3 linked regions of the Tamandua tetradactyla genome follow. The protein of the gene in region 2 interacts with the protein of the main gene of each other region in a biochemical or structural test. Links are inferred from orthologs where the notes say so. Each region holds a gene or a part of one and is shown on either strand. Other genes may lie near its edges.

The links. The genes of interacting proteins can lie anywhere in the genome.
Region 1: the proteins of HIF1A (region 2) and RACK1 form a complex in vitro, tested with the Homo sapiens proteins (2 studies listed by BioGRID). The link is inferred for Tamandua tetradactyla from reciprocal best matches to the Homo sapiens genes HIF1A and RACK1.
Region 3: the proteins of HIF1A (region 2) and FHL2 form a complex in vitro, tested with the Homo sapiens proteins (2 studies listed by BioGRID). The link is inferred for Tamandua tetradactyla from reciprocal best matches to the Homo sapiens genes HIF1A and FHL2.

What each region holds. Positions count from the first base shown.
Region 1 is NC_135346.1:3,339,027-3,346,820, forward strand, and holds the start of RACK1 (small ribosomal subunit protein RACK1), read right to left. Parts: upstream 3,097-7,794; 5' UTR 2,981-3,096; coding exon 2,872-2,980; intron 2,683-2,871; exon of another isoform or gene 2,615-2,682; intron 2,018-2,614; coding exon 1,846-2,017; intron 1,655-1,845; exon of another isoform or gene 1,577-1,654; intron 1,432-1,576; coding exon 1,284-1,431; intron 1,077-1,283; coding exon 981-1,076; intron 621-980; coding exon 510-620; intron 306-509; coding exon 165-305; intron 1-164. UniProt on the Homo sapiens protein: Scaffolding protein involved in the recruitment, assembly and/or regulation of a variety of signaling molecules. Interacts with a wide variety of proteins and plays a role in many cellular processes.
Region 2 is NC_135338.1:3,074,067-3,081,408, forward strand, and holds the start of HIF1A (hypoxia-inducible factor 1-alpha), read right to left. Parts: upstream 3,080-7,342; 5' UTR 1,716-3,079; coding exon 1,630-1,715; intron 679-1,629; coding exon of another isoform or gene 676-678; coding exon 485-675; intron 1-484.
Region 3 is NC_135343.1:70,098,339-70,105,669, forward strand, and holds the start of FHL2 (four and a half LIM domains protein 2), read right to left. Parts: upstream 3,097-7,331; 5' UTR 2,132-3,096; coding exon 2,091-2,131; intron 1-2,090. UniProt on the Homo sapiens protein: May function as a molecular transmitter linking various signaling pathways to transcriptional regulation. Negatively regulates the transcriptional repressor E4F1 and may function in cell growth.

The DNA of each region.
Region 1 (7,794 bases), on a different chromosome or scaffold from region 2:
AAACCTACGAAGTCTTAACTACTTTTAACTTGCCCTTCTTGAGCCTTGAGATTGACAAATCTCAGCATGTGGTAAGATGGTATATTACCATGTGTGTAACCATCACACTGGCAGGACTTCCAAAGTACAGCCAGGCACTCAGTCTGAACTGTATTCACACTCACCCAGATCTTGATGCTGGGGCCCGTGGCAGCACAGAGCCAGTAGCGGTTGGGGCTGAAGCAGAGGGCATTGATGATATCCCCGCCGTCCAGCGTGTAGAGGTGCTTGCCTTCGTTTAGGTCCCACAGCATGGCCTGGCCATCCTGGAAGACACCACTGGGTCACTGTGACTGTTCCCGGAAATCAACTCCATTTCCCAATGTTTTGTCCTAATCAACTCTTAAGCCCCCCTACCCCCTTTCCCAAGCTTCCTGTAAGCAAACGCCTCAAAGTGTCCCCTGCGAAAGGCATGTTCAGCCTCCCCCACCCCCCACTTTAAGAGTAGGAGGCCCCTGGCTCCTGAATACCTTGCCTCCAGAAGCACAGAGGGATCCATCTGGAGAGACAGTGACAGTGTTCAGGTAGCCCGTGTGGCCAATATGGTTGGTCTTCAGCTTACAGTTAGCCAGGTTCCATACCTAAAAAGAGGGGCAGAGGACCCACAGGTGAGGAAGCCGGCTTGGGGCCTAACATGATACCTTATTTGAAAACATTCCTGGGAGGAATGACCATCATTTATCAGTAAAAAGAGGTTGAAGAATTTCTCTTGGCCACTTAAAGACAACTGGGTTTTAAAACAGTTACTAAATGCTGTGTGGAGTCTTACAAAGGCTCTGGGCTCAAACTACTCCATACTTTTCCCCTCTTGCTATTAATACCAGAAATTTATGGCCGGAATTGGAAAAACAACAGCCAAAGGAAAAAAAGTCAATTAAAGGAACCTACAAAGTATTCAGAGCTGGAGCCCACACCCACCTGTCCCCTGGCCCCAAGCGCACCTTGACCAGCTTGTCCCAGCCGCAGGAAACGATGATGGGGTTGCTGCTGTTGGGCGAGAAGCGGACACAAGACACCCACTCTGAGTGGCTCTCATCCTACAGATGGAAAGGAAGCAAAGGGAAACCATCCCATGACATAAAATTCTAACTGCCCCAGCCTTCCCTCAGCCGTGTGGGGTGGGTGTCGGCAGCCTTATATCCTCCTCCCCAGAACTTTTAGGCTCCTGGCATAAGACAAGGAGAAATGGAAGAGGAGGAGCTCCAACACCTGCACCAGGCTCCCGACCAATGCCTCTGCTTTACCTGGACTGTGTACTTGCAGACTCCCAAAGTGTTCCACAGCTTGATGGTCTTGTCTCGGGAGCCAGAGACAATCTGCCGGTTGTCAGAGGAGAAAGCCACACTCAGCACATCCTTAGTGTGGCCTACAAACCGGCGTGTGGTGGTGCCCCTGGGAGGGAGGACATGGTCACTCTCTAAGCAGAGCCTGCAAACGGTCTCTCCACAGTTTCGTCATGTCCTGTCTCAGTGGTGAATTACCCCCCAATGCCACACACAGTCCCGACCACAAGTCCCTGGCTGAGTCTATGCGAGAGAACCCCCTCAGAATTGCAGGACATGTCCTCATGCCCCATGGGGATAGGTGGACAATGTCGTCTGTCATCACCAGGGTCCTCCATGACCCCTGCCACGTGCCCAACCACACCGAGGTGCCAGGCCAAGATACTCAGACCGCTCCCCAGCAAGACTCAGGTGAGTAACCCCGACATGACCTCCTTTACTCTACCCACTTCTCCCTACCACCTCTACTTCACTTTGCCCAGCTCTTCCCCAAGGCCCCAGGTCTAAGTGAGCAGCTACTTGCGTTGTGAGATCCCAGAGGCGCAGGGTTCCATCCCAGGAGCCTGAGAGGGCAAACTGGCCATCCGAGGAGATGACCACATCACTGACAAAGTGAGAGTGACCCCGCAGAGCACGCTGGGGAATACCATAGTTGGTCTCGTCTCTGGTCAGCTTCCACATGATGATGGTCTTGTCTAGAGAGAAAACCGAAATGGACACTCAGCCGCCTCAATCCTCGCCATCCTGCCGGTCTCCAGCCTCCTCACTGACCTACGGGCTAACCCGGACATCTCAAGGTCACAGAGGGCTCACAAAATGACAAATTAGAGTCAGGTGAGGGGGAAGGGAGTCCGCAAGCCAAGACAAGTTCACTAACCCAGAGTAAGGCCAAGCTGTGCATGAGATTCCGTCAGGTGTACAGAACTCCGAATGCGACGACGGATGTCCTTTTCTGGGACCCGAACCCATTAAGACATTTATCTCCTATCTGGTCTGAGCTCTAACGACTTGTGGACCTTTCTGCAACCGCTGGAAATGCTGCTCGGGCGCTGCCAGCCCGCAGGCTTTCCTGCACGCGCGTGCCCGGCACTAAGGCTCACCACTAAGCACCAGCAGCAGGTCGAGTCCCAGCTGCCTCCTAACCACCTGGGCGCTCTCAGAAGGCACGGGAAGCCCCCGACGCTGCGGGCCCACAGGGAGGGCAAAAGCCAAGGAGGGCCGAGGGGGCAAAGGGCAGGGCGGACGGGCACGAGGCCCCTGTGAGCCCACCCCTCCCTAGCAGGGCCCGGCGGCAGCTCAGAAACAGCCTCTGGGTCTCAGCACGGGCGCTCAGATGGCATGTTGGGATCATCACCGCTCCGCCCGGGCCCCGAGGGACAGGAAATGGGACACCCCCCACCCCCGCCAATGCTCCCGCAGGCCAAGGGCCGAGTCACGTCCCCCTCTGCAAAACGCGGGCGGCGCGCGGAGTTACACCGGACGGAGTGGGGCCCTGGGTCCGCCGCGAGCGAACGCCGTCCCCACCCGGCCCCCGCACCTCAGCTCGTACCTCGCGAAGCTGACAGGATCATGTCCGGGAACTGCGGAGTAGTAGCGATCTGGGTCACCCAGCCGTTGTGGCCCTTCAGGGTGCCACGGAGAGTCATCTGCTCAGTCATGGCGGCGGCGGGTGTCGAGGTCGCCGCAGCGACGAGGATGGCACCGGATGGTCCGGAGAGCCGAGAACCACAACCGAGACAGCCACTGCCCCGCCGTGAAAAAGGAAGAGCACCGCGCCACCGGAACCGGAAATAACCTCCCGCCCGGCCAAAATGGCGGCTCCCGCGAGTCACTTCCGTCAAAGATGGCGGCGCCATTTAGAGCACAGGGCATCATGGTTCCCTCCATAATTTGACAGAGCCGTACAAGTAGTTTCTGAAGCTAACGCGACTAAGGGTTTGAAAGGGCTCCTCTTGTTTCATCCTCTAGGTTTCCTTGTAGTGCCACACATGACCCTAAACATGGGATTGTAAAACACACAGTTGTGGACGATGACTTGATTAATGATATAAATAGAAGAATGTTTTTCCATGAATAAGAAAGTCACTGTTACAAAGAGTTAAGAATAGGGTGGCATAAACGGAAAAAATACACCCGATGCAAATTATGCGCTATAGTTAGCAGTAATTACGATTCTTCCATGAGTTGTGAGAAAGGTACCACACTGAAGCTAAGTGTCAATCATAGGGGTCTCAAAAGGGCATGGATTTTTTTTTCCTTTTTAGCAGTAATGAAAATGCTCCAAAATTGTGTTGACGAACGTACAACTCTGAAAGTATACTGTGAGCCATTGATTGCCCATGTTGGTTAGCTTGTATGGTGTGTGAATAAAACAACTTAAAAAAAAATACATCTCCTAAACTCTGTGAGTAAACTCATTACCCTCTCCTCTATGTGGGGCATGACATCCAGGGGTGAGTCTCCCTGACAAGGTGGGACATGACTCCTAGGGATGAGCCTGGCCCTAGCACATGGGATCAGCAATGCCTTCCTGACCAAAAGGGGGACAAGAAATGTAACAAAATAAAATATCAGTGACTAAGAGTGTTGAAATAGAGTTAAGAGGCTATTCCGAACACTACTCTTATGCAAATTTCTGCTAGATATAGCTAATTGCCATGGTATGCCAAACCCAAACCAAAACCATTCCTGTTTACCCTAAAGAACACCTAGGGCTCTAACTGAGATTACTTTCCAGAAACCTACACCCTCCTGGTTCCTACGCCAGATAAGTCCTGAAATCAGAGAGCCTAGCCTCTCCAGAACATCGACTAGTTCTATCCCCATGTCCCATATTATTGACAGCCTTTTCCAACATGAAAAAGTTAGAATGGGCTTAGCCCAAATACCCTTAAAGACTGGAAGAAAGATCAAAGGAGAAGGAGGAATTATAACAGAGAAGATAGGGTTTAACAAAGGAATATAACTGGTGGTTCCACAGGAGGCTAGGGGTGGGGTTGCCATATGATCCTTCAATGCTATTGCTCAATATATACCTGGAGGAACTGAGTGTGGGTACAGGAATGGACATCGTACCCTGGGGTTCATGGCGGCAGTGTTTGGGATTCACAATGGAGGAGGCCTGTGCTGGTTTGAATCTGTGGTGGACCCCAGAAAAGCCATGTCCTTTAATTCTCATTCAGTATTGCTGGGTGAGAGCGTTTTGATTGTTTCCATGGAGCTGTGACCCTCCCAATTGTGGGTAGTAACTTTTGATTAGATGGCTTCCATGGAGTTGTGACTGTACTTATTCCAGGTGGGTCTTGATTAGTTCATTGGAATCCTTTAAAAAGGAAACATTTTGGAGAGAGTCCCTTTTTTATTTTTATTTATTTTTTAACTTTTTTTATTAATTAAAAAAATTAAACAAAACATTAAGATATCATTCCATTCTACATATACAATCGGTAATTCTTAATATCATCATATAGTTGCATGTTCATCATTTCTTAGAACATTTGCATCGATCTGGAAAAAGAAATAAAAAGACAACAGAAAAAGAAATAAAACGATAACAGAGAAAAAAAATTATACATACCATACCCCTTACCCCTCGCTTTCATTTACCACTAGCATTTCAAACTAAATTTGTTTTAACATTTGTTCCCCCTATTATTTATTTTTATTCCATATGTTCTACTCTTCTGTTGCTATAGTAGCTAAAAGGGGCATCAGACACAAGGTTTTCACATTCACAGAGTCTCATTGTGAAAACTATATCATTGTTCAATCATCATCAAGAAACATGGCTACTGGAACACAGCTCTACATTTTCAGGCAGTTCCCTCCTGCCTCTCCGCTACGTCTTGAACAACAAGGTGATATCTACTTAATGAATAAGAATAACCTCCAGGATAACCTCTCAACTCTGTTTGGAATCTCTCAGCCATTGACACTTAGTCTCATTTCATTCTTCCCCCTTTGGTCGAGAAGGTTCTCTCAATCCCTTGATGTTAATTCTCAGCTTATTCTAGGGTTTTCCCAGTCCCTTGATGCTGAGTCTCAGGTCATTCCAGGATCTCTGTCCCACGTTGCCAGGAAGGTCCACACCTCTGGGAGTCATGTCCCATGCAGAGAGGGGGAGGGTGGTGAGACTGCTCGTCATGTTGGCTGGAGAGAGAGACCACATCTGAGCAACAAAAGAGGCTCTCTTGGGGGTGACTCTTAGGCCTAAATTTTAAGCAGACTTGACCTATCCTTTGTGGGGTTAAGTTTCATATGAACACACCCCAAGACTGGGGGCTCAGCCTATGGCTTTGGTTGTCCACACTGCTTGTGAGAATATCAAGAATTCAACTTGGGGAAGTTGAATTTCTCCCCACTCTCACCATTCCCCGAAGGGGGCTTGCAAATACATTTCCAGTCACTGATCAAATCACTCTGGGATTCATCGGGGCATCACTCTGGACAAACCAACGAAATCTCATGTCCTACCTGAGATTCCAAGTACTTATGACATTCAATCAAACTATCTACACGAGTTATATTAGGAAATGCTCTAGTCGAAATATAAATTTTGTAACAAACATTTTTTGCTTTAGTCTCACACATAAGGTGATATTTTTAAGTATTATCATCTGTTTTCAGCACCCTGCAATAGTGACGTTCCTTTGTTCTTCCTCATGCAAAAACATTTTTAAAATTTGTACATTGTACATTTCACTATTATTATACACTCTAGGCATTCCTAAGATTATATCATCTCGATCTTTAACATCTATCTTTCTTTCTGATTTTATTTATGTCCCCAGCCCTCCTCCCTCTGTCATTCTCACATGCAGCTTCATTCAGTGTTTTAACATAATTACATTACAGTTAGGTAGTATTGTGCTGTCCATTTCTGAGTTTTTATATTCAGTCCTGTTGCACAATCTGTATTCCTTCAGCTCCAATTACCCAATATCTCACCCTATTTCTATCTCCTGATGGTCTCTGTTACCAAGGAAATATTCCAAGTTTATTCACTAATGTCAGTTCATATCAGTGAGACCATACAGTATTTGTCCTTTCGTTTCTGGCTAATCACACTCAGCATAATGTCCTTAAGGTCCATTCATGTTGTTACATACTTCATAACTTTATTTTGTCGTACAGCTGCATAATATTCCATCTTATGTAAATGTCACAGTTTGTTTAGTCAACTGTCTGTTGATGGACATTTTGGCTGTTTCCATCTCTTGGTAATTGTTAATAATTTTGCTATAAATATTGGTGTGTAAATGTCCATTTGTGTCCTTGGCCTTGTGTCCTTTGAGTAGAGACAGCATATAGATGGGTCCTGTTTTTTAATCCATTCTGCCAGAGTGTGTCTTTTGATTGGAGAGTTTAACCATTAATATTCAGTGTTATTACTGCATGGGTAGTACTTTCTTCTACTATTTTGCCTTCTGGATTTTATATGTCATATCTAATTTTCCTTCTTTTTACTTTTACTCATAGTCTTCATTTCTACACTCTTCTCCATGCCTCTCTCTTCTGTCTTCATATCTGTCTCTAGTGTTCCCTTTAGTATTTCTTGCAGAGCTGGTCTCTTGGTCACAAATTCTCTCAGTGGTTTTTTGTCTGAAAATGTTTTAATTTCTCCCTCATTTTTGAAGAACAGTTTTGCTGGATATAGAATTCTTGGTTGGCAGTTTTTATCTTTTAATAATTTAAATATATTATCCCACTGTCTTCTCACCTCCATGGTTTCTGTTGAGAAATCTGTGCATAGTCTTATTGGGCTTCCCTTGAATGTGATGGATTGCTTTTCTCTTGCTGCTTTCAAGATCCTCTCTTTCTCTTTGACCTCTGACATTCTGATTAGTAAATGTCTTGGAATATGTCTATTTGGATCTATTCTCTTTGGGGTACGCTGCCCTTCTTGGATCTGTAATTTTAAGTCTTTCATAAGAGTTGGGAAATTTTCAGTGATAATTTACTCCATTAGTTTTTCTCCTCCTTTTCCCTTCCCTTCTCCTTCTGGGATACCCACAACACATATATTCATGAGCTTCATATTGTCTTTCAATTCCCTGAGTCCCTGATCATATTTTTCCTTTTTTTTTTCCCTATAGTTTCTGTTTCTTGTCGGATTTCAGATGTTCCGTCCTCCAGTTTTGAAATCCTATGTTCTGTCTCTTGAAATCTACCATTGTAGGTTTCCATTGTTTTTTTCATCTCTTCTACTGTGTCTTTCATTCCCATAAGTTCTGTGATTTGTTTTTTCAGACTTTCAGTTTCTTCTTTTTGTTCTTTCCTTGCCTTCTTTATATCCTCCCTCAATTCATTGATTTGGTTTTTGATGAGGTTTTCCATGTCTGTTCGTACATTCTGAATTAATTGTGTCAGTTCCTGTATGTCATTTGAATTGTTGGTTTGTTCCTTTGGCTGGGCCCTTTCTTCAATTTTCCTAGTGTGATTTGTTATTTTTTGCTGGTGTCTAGGCATTTAA
Region 2 (7,342 bases):
TGTTTTCTGCCCTTTCCTTTTAGAACAGAACAGTTAAGGCCAGAGGCTAGAAAAACTAATATTAAACCTGCCAACTGCTTTTCAGGATTATTTAAAGTAATGCAACAAGGCAAACCACTGAAAAGAGAAAGGGTCACGTTATTAAAAAGAAAACAGGTAGGTAACTGAGACTGAAGAAAATGAAAAAGAAAAAAGCTAGTAGTTTAAAAATTCCTGAATGAAGCTTTAAAGACAGGTAATAAAAAATATATCATATTAAAGAAGAACTAAGAGTGTTTTTAAGGGAATAGAGCAAAACTTACAATATAAAGAGATTATTTCTAACTATACTGATTAGAAAAGCAAACTTCATAAAATACGATTATTGAAAAATTTTTCAAGTATGTTATAACATAATGGGGTATACAAAAAACAAAATATTTTGACAACTTCTAAACAATTTCTAGTTCTAATTTTCAGCCTATTAAATTCTTAAAAAACTCACCAGCATCCAGAAGTTTCCTCACACGCAAATAACTGATGGTGAGCCTCATCACAGAAGCCTTATCAAGATGCGAGCTCACATTATGGGGAAGAGGCAACTGATGAGCAAGCTCATAAAAAACTTCCGACTCTTTACTTCGCCGAGATCTGGCTGCATCTCTAGATTTTTCTTTTCTGCGTTCAGAACTAATCCTACTTAACCAAAAAAGAAGAGAAAAGTTGAAAGGGAAAGTTTATGTAAGTTAGTTTGGCTTAGTTTGAATAAAACTTTTTATATTCTTCTGTTACCATAGCTGGATTAGAAGATGCCATGTAACTAGAGACTTGTCTACCAGATGAATGTTCTTTTACACAGCTATACAAATGTTTGAAGTACTGCAGACATAAGGAACTCACACAAGAAGTTCATGATCAAGCTTTAAATCTTTTCAAGCAGATGTTACCTCCCTGACATGTCAAATTGTAGAGGAAGTTTTTATTTTAGTCAAAAACTGTACCTTCATAGCCACTGATAAGCAGTTTCAAAATACAGAACCCCGAGTAAGTCTAGAGGAACAATCTACAGTTGTACATAATGACTTGAACACAAGAGTTGCTAAGCATATCAGTTACAGCAACAAACTGATCTGCTCAGTTTCTTGACTCCCACACACCCTCTACACTACCACAAGAACAATACTCACTATAAGCTACAGGAATTTTTATTAACAGTTATAATAAACTACTGTTTTCAGGTTGTCTACTAAGCAGCAGCACCTTATCTATTACTGGCACAACAGTCTACCAAGTAAATACAGGTATACGAAAGGAAGGGGAAAAGGTTGTGGCATGATACTTAGATTCTTCCTTAACAGGAACTGTTGATTAGAACCTACTACGTGCCTAGCTCTATAGGTTAAATATTATCCCTCTTTTACATATGAGCAAATTGGGGCTCATCTGGAATTTATTTGGCATTCGCACAGTCACATACCAGAAGGGATTTGAACCCAGGCCTTTTTAACTCCAAAGTCTTTCCTCTTCCTCCACTATGCTTATCTTAATGGAAAACATTTCTTCAATCTCAAATACTCAGCTGCTCTCCTGTGACCCCTCAACTCAATCCCATTATTTAAGCCAATTTATTAAATTGAAAGCAGCCGGTACCATTTACTAAGCACGTAACAGTATGTTAAGGACTCTGCCTGCATAATTTCACTTAATTCTCCTCCCATCCTATGAATGAAGTACATAATTGGTCTCCACCTCAAGTCTCTCCTCCCTCCAGATGATCTTTTGCAAAGCTACCAAGGTTCAATCGTAGGAACGACACACTCGAATAAACAGGCAGGCTTTCAGTGTATGCTCATGTTATCTTATATTACAACAAGTAAATACCTAATGGTTGTATTGTGACACTAATCACAATATAATCTTAGCATTTATTCTTTGTGTGCTTATATTTTTATACTTTTATAAGGAATGTGAACACTTGTTACATATTGTTAATAACACTGATGTAAAAATTTCAGTTTAAGTATCTAGATCAGTTTAACTTGAGTATCTTGCGATTTAAGGTGTGCTATAAAACCATTACCATTTGTAACTACTTATATATGTGAATCATGATTTTCTCAATGATGTACAATTTAAAAAACTACAGATAAATTAGATGCCTATGCTACTATGAAAGCACAAGAATGTCAACAATCTGTAATAATATTTTAATGTGCATTAGAATTGCCCCATCGATTGACTTTAAGTAAATATTTTAAATTTGAACTTTAAAGTGTATAATAATAAAATAGAGCTTTTATCTATCTTAGGCATAAATAAGGATTCTGCACAATATTCAATGGGGGAAGAGAAGAGTGGTTTCTGTTGCTAGAAAGAGTTTGAAAAGTCCCCAGACCATGCGATCTAAAATGGACAATCTCTTCACTTTGGGGCATTCACCCTGGGTTTTGAGCCAGCAGTCTATTTTTGGCCCTAGTGGATGCTGTTGCTATTTTATCCCCACCTCCTCCCAGTCATGGGTGATAAGCAATAGTGGCTGTGGCAAACAGATTCCTATGTAGTTCAAGCAAAACCACCAAAAAAGAATGGTGATCAATGACTGATGATAAACCTGAATATTAGGTTCAAATGCCACAATTAATTCAGGTGTTAAGAATATTATCAGCAAAAAAATAAAAATAAAAAAGAATGTTATCAGCCACTTTAATCACATTTATTACCCCCTCTTTTTCTGAACAACACAACCAATCTTCCACAAATGATTACCCAAATGAAATACTTGGAGAAAAAATTGTATCTTTATATTACTTGCCATGTTTTTAAAGGATATCTGATTAAGCTAACCATGGTGGTAGAAAATCTCCATACCTTCTGAAATACTTGCCTTCTCCAGAACCTTAAAGATAGCAATGATTGCCCTATTAGAGAAATGATGTTGCATAAAACATCAAAGGACAATATATAAGTCAGGGCAGACTATGAGAACAAGCATCTGAGTGTAAACATGAATTCTGGAAGTAAAATAAACCTCAAGAAACAAGTAATCTGATATTTCAAGAGTCGATAAACCTAAATTAGACGTAGAAGGTGATGAAAATCATTATGTTCATTATTACATAAACAATCTTTAGATTACAGCATTCAAAGAACATGTAATAAAGGTTTAATAAAGAACTTTTATCTAATAATCTCCACATGTGTACTATGTACAAGGTGGTATTCTAAACATTTCTAAGCTTAAAACTTAGCATCCAAAGTTCTTAGGAGTTTTTACATCTGAACAGTCCAGTTTATCACTCTTGCTCCCACAGAAGTACATAAGTTACTTCTATTAGACCATGGGTTACAGCACCCATAGAGAAGAATTCTGTGCTATTTGCTTACTTACTACTACTTAGATGGAACAAACGTTGTGTGGACCAGAAGGAAACAAGCAGATTTTCAGCATGCAAATAAGGCCACTGTATTACTCTAAATTATCAATTGCATCTATGTTGTTTTTAAGTACAAATCTACCGAAATTGTCTGCATAGGTGCTATTTCACAGTGTACTAGAGGGCAAATCAGCTAAGAATATACACAAAATCTTTCTTTTTTATTTCATTGTCCAGGAATTGAACCTGGGTCTCCCACATGCAAGGCAAGCATTCTACCACTGAACCACCCATGCACCCCAAATTCTCTTTTGAATAGTTTGCTTAACCATTTCTATGACTGTTTCAGAACTGAATCTTTGTGGTGCTGCAGTTTTCACATATTTATTTTTTTTTTATTATTTAACATATAGTACTTGTGGTGGGGTTTGGAGGTATGCACACCAGAAAAACATGTTCGTAAACTTAATCCATTCCAGTGAGTGTGAACCCATTCTAAGTAGGACCTTTTGATGAGGTTATCATGGGAAGCAAGAAACTGAAAGTCAGTGGAACCCAGAAGAGAAGGAAGAGGCCAGGAGAGGCCACCACGTGCACTGCTAATGTGACAAAGGATCACCAGCAGCCAGCCCCAGAATGTAGTCTTTGGAAAGAAAGCATCACCTTGATGATACATGCCTTTATTTAGCCTTCTCTTATTTAGCCTCAAAACCAGGAGTCAATAAATCCCACTATTTGCTTTAGCAACAAGGAAACTAAAACAGCACTATAGCAAGAAAGTAACAATTACATCTTGAAATTACTTTGTATAGGAAAAACTATTTTGAGCCACTGTCTTATTAAGCATCTTGTATGCAAAGTTCATAAGCAGTAGTCATTTTACAGAGAATGTATACTATTCTTTTATAGCTAAACAAGAACACAAAATAATTGCAGACATTTCAAGTCATTGTGGTCTACTTATGATATACAGAAAGCTTGACAGCATTCCTGATTGTAAATCTCTGACTTTATTCATCCTGATTGTAAATCTCTGACTTTATTCAAAATGTTAGCAGGAAAAAAATGCTAGCAGATGACTGGATGTATTTCTGATCAATTAAGGCATAATTTTTTTTTTAAATCCCTCAATTCTCTTTATTTAGAGGAAAAAAACTTTCTGGCTTTGAAGGTACAATTTTTTTTTTCACTGTGTCAGTATTTCTACAGGATAAATGCTGTGAAGTGAAATGCTTGATTCAAAAATTATGCCATTTAGCTCTCCAAAAAGGTTTGTACCTACTTGTGTCTCTGCAAATCCATGAACATGTACATCCATTTTCCTATGCACTCAGCAGATTATAGATCATGGACCTTTTTTTCTTTTAAAATTTTTTACCAAGCTGATAGGTGAAAATTATATCTTGTTGTTAAACAGTACTGGTTAGCCTCAGGCCTGAAGAAAATCCAAGGAAATTTTCAAGTTCACTCTTTAATAGGCATTTTGCTTAAAGCTTTAAATGCAAAGACTTCTACTTGTTGCTTGCTATGTACAAGGTAGTATTCTAAACATTTTCATGTTAACTTAATCCTTAAAATAGCCCTGTGATGTAAATACTGTTATCATTATGTTATATATGTTATTCAAGGTTAGAGTTAATAAATGGTGTTCAGAACCTTTATTCTAATTTAAGCAGTTTGGCACCAAAGACCTCATGCTATTAACACTACACTATGCTGTCTCCCAGAAACCCATTCTAATTCCCAAGATAAGTATTCATAAGTCTTGCTCTTTATTATGAAGTTTAAAATTTGTCACTTCACATTTCCAAGGACATAAAGAAGTTATAGGTGTTGGCTGTGGAATTTAGGATTTGATGGACTCGTGGCCATGCTCTTTCCTGGAATCTCCTTGTAAATCCGAAGTCCTAATTGACAGGTACCTGTAATAGCCATGTTCTCTGTTCTGCTGTCCAGCATCTCTTCAAAGAAAGGCAATGTTTAATGGGTATTGCCAACCACTGTGGGGAGAGGATAAGAGGATGGCAATTCAATCTACCTCTCATACTCCCATTAAACTTTATTTTAAATTTGTACAGAGCAGCCATCTGAACATTTTAATTCAGTCTTGTTTGTTTCATTTGCTCAACAGCTGTATGGTAATCACAGCAACATCCTGGTTTTGATTATACTCACTTTTATAAAGTTTTTCTAACTTGTATTAGAAAATTAGTGAATAAAAGCTGAAGCATTTTATTTTATATTAAAAATGTTCTAGAGCTATTCCTAGAACTAATGTACATAATATGACAGCACATTATCCTTGGGCGAGGTGATTTTTGAGATTGTTTTATAAGCAGGAAGGGCAGGCCTGGTCCTATCCTACAGAATTTGGTGATAGTGGCATAACACTGAAAGGTAATCCCTCAAGATCTAAAAACCTAAATAATTTCTTCACATATTATAAGCCATTTGTCATATTAGATGTTAATTTTTTCTGGAATCTGTTTTCTCTTTTATCTTGCACAAGTTAAAAATATTGATAGTCAAATTAATCTTTTCCATTGATATGTCTTCTAATATTCTTCCAAAGATCTGAAAAATATCTTATTCTACTTCTGTCTAGTTCATTAAACCACCTGGAGTTTATTTTGGTGAAATGTAAGGTTGGAATCTAAATTTTTTTTTCCCTCAACAGTTACCTAAAAGCTTTAAAAATATAATCCTTTTTTTCCACTGCTTTTTAATTTCTTATTTTAGCATAGTAAATCTTCACCATTTTGGATATTTCTAAACAGCTTTGTTCAATTATTTTATGAATTATTATTTTTTTACATATGTTCCACAGATAAGATAATATTTAAAATACCAGTAGGCCAACTGTTAATTGCCACTCTTCTTTTACTGGATATTCTTTGTATGGTGAGGATCCCAAAAGTAAAATCAATCTGCATACCTACTCAGGAGATCTGCCTAGTCATAAGCCAATTGCCAAGATTCCTCACCTCATAAAACATCATGAGAGAAAATAGACTATTGTCCCTCTAACATTTATTGGGTGCTCTGTGCTAAGGACTAGTAATATAATCATAAACAAAACAAACTACTGAAATAGTCACTAATGCTATATTTCTAAATGCTGGTTTAGCTGCACCATAATTGTCAACACATCAAAATCTTGGGGCCTACCTATCTAAATTCTGATTCTGTAAAGCTGAGGCAAGGCCCAGAAATCTGGGTTTTAAAAACTTTCTGAGAGGTGTATGATACATAGACAAGGTTGAGAACCACTGACTGAAATGAGTCTTCAAATTATCACCACAATGGTCTTTCCAAAATATGTATCTCATATTATGTCCTGCTTAAAACGCGTACAGGTCAAAGACTAATTACTTTTAAAGGAAGTTCCCTACTCATCTCTTCATCTTCATTTGCCACACCCCCATTCACATTCTTCAGTCACATGACAATCACTCAAAAGGAGTGTTTCATTCATCTCTGACTTGCTAACCCCAATATTTTGGTAAATTGTCATACAAAACTTTAAAAACTCAACTCAATCATTGCTATCTATACCTCTGCTTTTTCTTTTCCAAAACTGTTTCTCTTTCCTAGAACTGACCACTCTGGTTGCTCTGCTATTATTTATCTTCCTCAACAATGTCTGAAAGCTTCTTGGGGGCAGGAAACTGCCTGATTCATCTTTGGATTCTTAGTAGGGATGTGCAGAAGTTTGAATATGGAGTTAGTATTCTGCCCAGATATGCTACTTAACTTTGATTCTGGCATATGGAATGCTGACTCCTCTTCAATTGTTTTTGGGATCCCTAAATTTGTACTTTATCAGTTCTCCTGTGATTCTGTAGGGTACAATCTCAACTAACCAGCATTAACAGTATAAGACGAACAAGTTATACACCATTTGGATTTACCGCGATTATCTGCATATTCACTTTCAAAAATAAGTAAGCAAACTTTATCTCCCCTTTTCCACCTTTGCCCCATTATAA
Region 3 (7,331 bases), on a different chromosome or scaffold from region 2:
TTTTATATTATACCAAAACTTGGCGAGTGATAGTTTCACAAAACATTAGTTGCAATGTGGAATTTGAAACTACATCAGTACATTTTTATGTCCAGTTACATTAAAACACATTTGGTCTACCTTGAACTTTAAATTGTGCATTATTTAAATTGTGCATTATTTTGTAATATTTAGAAACTACTCATTGTGTAGATTTATGAAATGTGAACACATTTAATTACACAACGTCAAAAAATCACAACTCAACAACGAAAAAGACAAACAACCCAATTAAAAAATGAGTAAAAGACTGAATAGACATTTCTCCAAAGTAGATAAACAAATGGCCCAAAAACACAGGAAAAGAGGCTCCACATCATTAGTTATTAGATAAATGCAAATCAAAACCACTATGAGACGCCGTTTGTCACCCACTAGAATGGCTGCTATTAAAAAAAGAAAAAAAGAACAAGTATCGGAGAGGATGTGGAGAAACAGGAAGACTTGCTCATTGTTTGTGGGACTATAAAGTGGTGCAGTCACTATGGAAAACAGTCTGCTGGTTCCTCAGAAAGTTAGGTGTAGAATTACCATATGTCCTAGCAATCCCGTTCCTACATATATACCCCAAATAATTAAAGTAGGGACTTGAACAGGCATTTGCACACCAAAGTTCACAGTGGCACTATTCACAATTACCAAAAGATGGAAGCAACCTTAGTATCCATCAACAGATGAATGGATGAACAAAATGTGGTCTATACATATAATGGAATATTATTTGGCCATGAAAAGGAACAAAGGTCTGATACATGTGACAACACAGATGGACCTTGAAGTCACCATGTTGGGTCAAATAAGCCAGCCACAAAAAGACACATATTATTTGATCTCACTGATATGAATTAATCAGAATAAACAAATTCATAGAGTTAGAAAGTAGAATACAGTTTGCAGGGACTGTGGTGGGGGTAGATAAAGGGGAATTCCTGCTTAACTGGTACAGAATTTCTGTTTGAGGTGATGGAAAAGTTTTGGCAATGGATAACGGTGGCAGCTGTGCAGCATTGTGAATGTATTAGCACCACAGAATTATATATTTAAATGTGCAAATAAGTTACCAGAACAACGCTTTAAAAAAAAACATAGAACTGTACACAGTGAACCCTAATGTAAATTATGGACTATTTTTACTAGAACATTTATAATAATATCCTTTCATCAATTGTGAAAAAGGTGCCACAGTAATGCAAGGGGTTATAGGGTATATGGGAACTCTGTGTTTTCTGCATGATTTTTCTGTAAACCTGCAACTTCTCTTATTAAAAAAAAATCACAATCTTTACTATCTCCACCCATCTTCTCAGAAAAACCTAGAAGTATTGGGAAGATCACTGTGACTGATCTAAGTTTTCCAAAATGCTAATTTTCATCTCAAAGCTCAAATTTTATCTTTGGCAACATATACTTTCAGTTGTTTTCCTTAAATTGACAGGCTGACTCTGTTCATTTTTGAGAAAATATCTGCAACCAAAATCTGAATAATCATAGCTTGTCAATTGTTCTTTCCGGTAAAAACAGAAAAAGCATCTAGTTCAATTCATGCTCACACATGGACTTGTACTCAAGATGACCTTGGTGCTTTGATATGCGCAGAAGTGCTTCATGCATCTTCTCTTTGGTCACTCAAAATATTTAAAAGATGCATGTTCAAGGGTCCAGATTTAATAAAATTAGTAAGTTTTACCACTTCATTAAGGTCAGTTTCTTAAATGAAACTGGATTTTTGTTTTTCTTGCTAGTGCTTGGGGTGGGGAATGTTATGGCTTCTAATCGAGTTTGCTGCCACTGCTTTCATTCTAGCTAAGGCACAAGCAGTTTTTCCCACCACTGCTTTTATGTCTATAATAAATGTGAATACAGTGAAATAGTCCAGTAAGAGCTTACTATCCTTAATAAAATAGATCTGACCTCACACAACCCTAGAATGAGATTCAGGGATTCCTAGGGACCCAAGGACCACAATTGGAGAACCACTGGATTAAACCACATGTACGCTGGAGGAGGTTATATTTTGTTGTAATAGAAGTATGGTGGATTGAATTACGAACCCCAACGTAGACATGTTCTTAATCCTCATCCATATTTCCATGGGTGTGAGCCCATTGTAGATAGGAACTCTTGAAGGTGCTCTTTTCAGTTAAGGGTCTGGCCCGACTGAATGAGGTGGGGTCTTCTTTCTTAGATCTGGCTTTAGAAAGAGAAGCACTAGAAGTTGAGAGTTGGCGAAAGCTACTGGAAGAAAATCTGAGGAGCAGGAAGCCAGAAGTCAGTGGAAACCAGAGGAGCCCACCCAAGGGAGCTCAGCCCACTGTGGGAGGCAGAGAAGCAAGCCGAGGAGCCCCAAATATTACAGCAAGCTGACTCTAGGCCACGACAGGTTTTGGTGAGAGAGCATTGCCCTGCCTATGCCTTGATTTGGGACTTCCAGCCTCAAAACTGTGAGTCAATAAATTCCTGTTGTTAAGCCATCCCATTGTGTGCTATTTGTCATAGCAGCCCAGCAAGCAGTGCGGGTGGGATATTTAATTCTGAGGGTAAGTGGGAAAGAGCGATACTCATGGTTTGTGTAGCTAGTGCCCCAAGCCTACTCTCATTGATGACTCAGGGTCTCTTAAGTGGCTGTGGAAGCCTGCTGGAGGCTCAGCAGGAGATGTTCCTGGATGAGTGAGCAGAATCCTTGGCCTCCAGGGCTGACAGATGTGGTTGACATGGCAGTGGCCACCAGACCAAAGTCCAGGACTGCAGGGAGACCTCCTCCCAAGAGACACCGCTTACCTCCTTCTTGTTGCAAATGAGCCACAGAGACCAATGGGGTTAAATGACAACCACCCCAACAAACCAAAAGAGCAATTTAATCCCATGAGTAGGTCGCAGCTTCAGCTGTCAAGAGAATAAGTCTATAAAACCAGGTACCACTATCTAAACACTCTAGTCAAATAAAGCGAACAACTTCAGTTCTGCACTTGACATTTGTATGGAAATAATTACAGATGAGGTTGGTACAGACAGATTGTGCTCTGTTCCTCCTTTAAGGCCTTATGTCTAGAAAGTATCTTTTTGTATAGTAATTTGGTATAGATGAATATGGGTATTTCATTTCTTTTGTTTAATATACACCAGTCTATAAAGTATGCTTTCCTGTGTTCAGAAAGGCAGACACACAGATCCGTAGAAGACCACACAGCTTGGCCTCACCCAGCAACAGAAGGTGGGTGAGAGGTGAGTGTCCATTGGGGTGAGTTAGAGGCCCCAAGAGGAGAGGTGACTGGAGAACTCAGTTGCCTGTTCCTGAGACATGAGGCACTGGACACCCCTAGTAAGACTAATGAGGTGGAAATTATTCACAATGGTCTAAATAGCAACAAGAGGAAGAATCTGACACATGAGCAGGTGAGGGGGGTGGCTGAGGAGGAAGTTGAAGGGTGAGGGTGAGGAGAAAAGGGGGCGCAGCCCAGCTCCCAGGGCTCCAAGCACTCATGGTGGCCCACATCCCCATGGTCTACATGGGTCAGCTCCCAGGGGGAAGGAGAGTCACGCTTAGACTCCATCCCATCTGGGCCTCTCTTGAGAAACAAAATCTCAAGAGGGAATAAGATGAAAAATTCCTTACCCCATGTCCACAACTTGCCAGTGGCCTCAAAGCATGGCCAGCTCCCCGAGGGGCACCTGGGACAGGGTCCTTGCAAATGTGATTTGTCTAGTGACTCAGGGCTTTGCTCATTTGGGGCCCTGGGCCAAGAGGGCTCGAGGAGGCCAGAGGTCGGAATGCTGGGTCTCCTGCTGTTGGCTGTTGGGTGACGTTCCAACCACCGTACAGAGAGCCCGAGGTGAAGAAAGTAAACTCTATTCTTGGGGGTAGTGGGACATCTCCCTCCCCTCCTAATTGCCCCATTCTCAGTTCTGCAGCAACCCCGTCTTGTGTCGTGGAATCTCCCCAGCTCGAGGCAGAGCATGGGGCAGAGATCACAAAGCCTATCCCCGCCGGAGAAAAAGAAGAAAATAGTTTCTTCCATTTACTAGGAAAGCTGTTTCTGTCTTCTCACCATGCTAGTTCTATATTTATACGAGCATTCAATCGTGCCTTCTTGTTCCGTTGTTTTTTTGTCCCATCAGCACTTTGCCTCCTGCGGCTTTCTGTAGTTGTGAGTAGCAGCAAGTCAGGGGGACAGCCTTGGGGATGCATCAGGGGAGCCGCACCCCCCGCACCCCACCCCACACCTGCCAGCCCCCCCACCCAATGCCTTGCCCAGCAGAGCTCTGGGTCGGGATGCTGATCCGAAGGGAAAAGCAATAGTAAGAAACAGCTGTTTGAGGGCTTAAAGCCTTGCTGATTTGTGCATAGTCGTGACTTTAGGTTTTTAAGAGGTTGGTTCCACGAGTGAGGACGACTAGCAGCCCGAACCCCGCGAGCTGGGACCAACACAGCGTCCCCAGGTGCAGGCACCTGCCCACCGGGGCCCCAGGTGAGGGCGGCCCAGACCACCCCGGCAACGGGCACGTCCCGGCTCAGGCAGATGGGAAGCTACTTTGGAACCAAAATTGTGGTGGCCAGACGGGTACATGTTCCTTTTTGATCTACATTTTCCCTATGGTTTAATTTACTTTTTCATTACGGCATTATAGGGCTCGATGAGAGTCATCTGCAAAGCAAAACACTAGCAGCTTAGAAATAGCAGGACCACCGCTTTCGTGTGTCAGGCCTGCTGTCACGGGTCCCGCGGGCTGGCTGGCTTCCACAATGGGAGCTGATGGTCTCTCGCTTTTCAAAGGCTGGGTGCCAGCAGACCATGCTTTTTCTGAAGCCTATGGTGTCCTGCAGGGGCCACCATCACACGGCCATCGTCTCCTTCGGGCTCCTTATGTGGCTTTACTTCTGTGCCCGAATTTCCTTTGCTTATAGGGACTCGAGTCATGGAGGAATAAGGTCCATCCCCTTTCACTTCAGCCTCGTCTTAATAGGAACTTTGGAGATTCCGTTCACAAAAGGTTTCACATACACAGGACCAGGGGTTAGGACTCATGTCTTTGCGGGGAACATGATTCAATCTAAAACAAATACGAAAATAAATTTTCCTGCTCATTTTTTGGCCTGACACATATGACTTCTCTTTGAAAGCAAAATGCCATAGATGAAAGAAATCTCTATGGAATTAAATCCTAACTGCCACCAAATTACAACTTTAGGTTGATTTTTGGATCTTCTTTATTATTATTATTATTATTTTTACTCATTGACTGAGAAAGGCTTGATCTGGGTTATGCTGAGGGCTGCTTTGGTAAAGATACCTAAATGATCACAGAATGACTCTTTTTCATTCTAACTTTTTTTATCCAACAGACACTGTGTCCCTCGGATAAAGATGAAGCCAGAGTATAGCTCAACGGTCCGTGTCAACACCAGTTTTCTCTCCTGCTTCTTGCCTTTCAGTGCCGCCCAGATGCCGAGGGGAAACCACAAGGTCCATTTGTAGGATGATTAAGGCTCAGAACCGGTTGAGGGTGTTTTACGGGGTCTGACTTACACGGGGCATCAAGCCGCACATCCCGGCTCAGCTCCTCCCTTCCCCTCTCTGCGCTTTGCCGCAGAGGAATGAAGAATCTTCCGCATTTTGCCACAGAAGAGAGGCAGTCGGCGATACCTGGACAGCATGAAATTCCACGGAGCAAAAATGTCTCCGACGCAGGCAAAGTGCAGCTTTGGAAAAGGCTGGAAGCTGTGGCTCAACTTTCATGGTTGCTTGGGAGAAATTTGATTTCAAAAGCGTGTTTCATAAACCTGAACATGCCCTTTCCAAGTATAATTGTCTGCATTTTAGAGAAGAGACAGAAGTGCAAAGAAATGACTTGCTCGGGACCTCAGTGGACAGAGTTTTACTCCTAACAGCATGTTTAGCCGTTAGAGAGACAGTGCTGGCTGTTTTCACACGACATTGTCAGACAAGGGCCCCCCCATTTCCGTGGTAGGAGAGTGTTTATCTTTATGTCTTACCTTTTTGATTATGAGGTATTTGCTTTCTCTTCTGCATTCTAAAGGCCACACCATTTTATCATCACAGGCTGTCTTTCAGTAGAGGATGCCTTGTTTGACCATTTGAATTTATCAAAGCGCTCTGGGGTCTCGGAAAAATAGGTTCTCTTCTCGTGTAAGGAAGAGGGAAGCTTTCTGAAAAGAAACGTGCTTTCTTTTCTAGTCACTTCCTATCATCATTCTGTAACCGAGAAATCGGGGTTTAAGGGATGGTTTTGATTACTGAATCATTCTATAGATATTCCTTTTTACTTTTTGGTATATAGGAGTAGATAGTGGGAAATCCTTGAAATCTCTAAATTGTAATCCAGCTGCCTTGATCTCTGATAATGACTGCATAGCCCTTATCTTCTGCCCCTGTGATTGTAAAAACCTTGTGACTAGCCTTCATTTGTACCCAGTTATCCAGTTTTTCAACTTTAGAGTCTTGTAACTGCTAAAGACAGCTCCTAATATTTATTAATAAAGGGTCTTGGGTCAGCCCGGAACTAACCCACCCCAAGTCCAAAGTTATCTTGATAACGGAGACTGGATCTAATCAAAGTGGGCCCATCTGACATGCGCAGTAGCTTAGACTTTAACCTACAACTCACCTAGACTTCATTTTACCATTTACTGACACATGTTCAGTAACTAAGCATGTAGTCAAACCGCGCACGCTCAGATATCAGATCCCCTCTAATTACATCATCAGGGGTCTCTGAGCTCATCACCCTAAACTCGGTTCATCTTTTCTCTAGCAAAACGATCAAAATTACTGCATTTTGGGGAGACAGATTTGGGGCCTCTAAGCCATCTGCTCACCTACTACGTGCCTCGTAATAAACTCTTTCTCTCTTTGAAACCCTGGGGTCTCAGGAAGTGGTTATTGAGCTCATCGGACAAAAGAATCCATGGCCTTTGTCCCGTCACTATCCTGGGCTCCACCAGAGAAAAATCAATGTTCATTTTGGCTGTATAAAATTAATTCCATCTAAGTTACCTTCATCAAAAGACAAAGTTCCATAATTTGAGTCAAAAGTAACCCAAACCAGAATGAAAAACACATGGCGGAGAATGGAAACAGCATGACTATTAGCGAAACGCCCTTTGCAGTTTGCTTTCCCTCTCCTTCCAGGCTTCTGCTCCACACCAGGGACCCCCTCCCTCCTTTCCCCCGCTAGTCCTGTAGTCCTTTGAGCTGGGGGCGGGGGGGTTGCTGGTTCCCCACCGCTCTTCCCGCGACCACCTTCTGTCAAGTGGCGGGAAGAGGCTGCAAGGC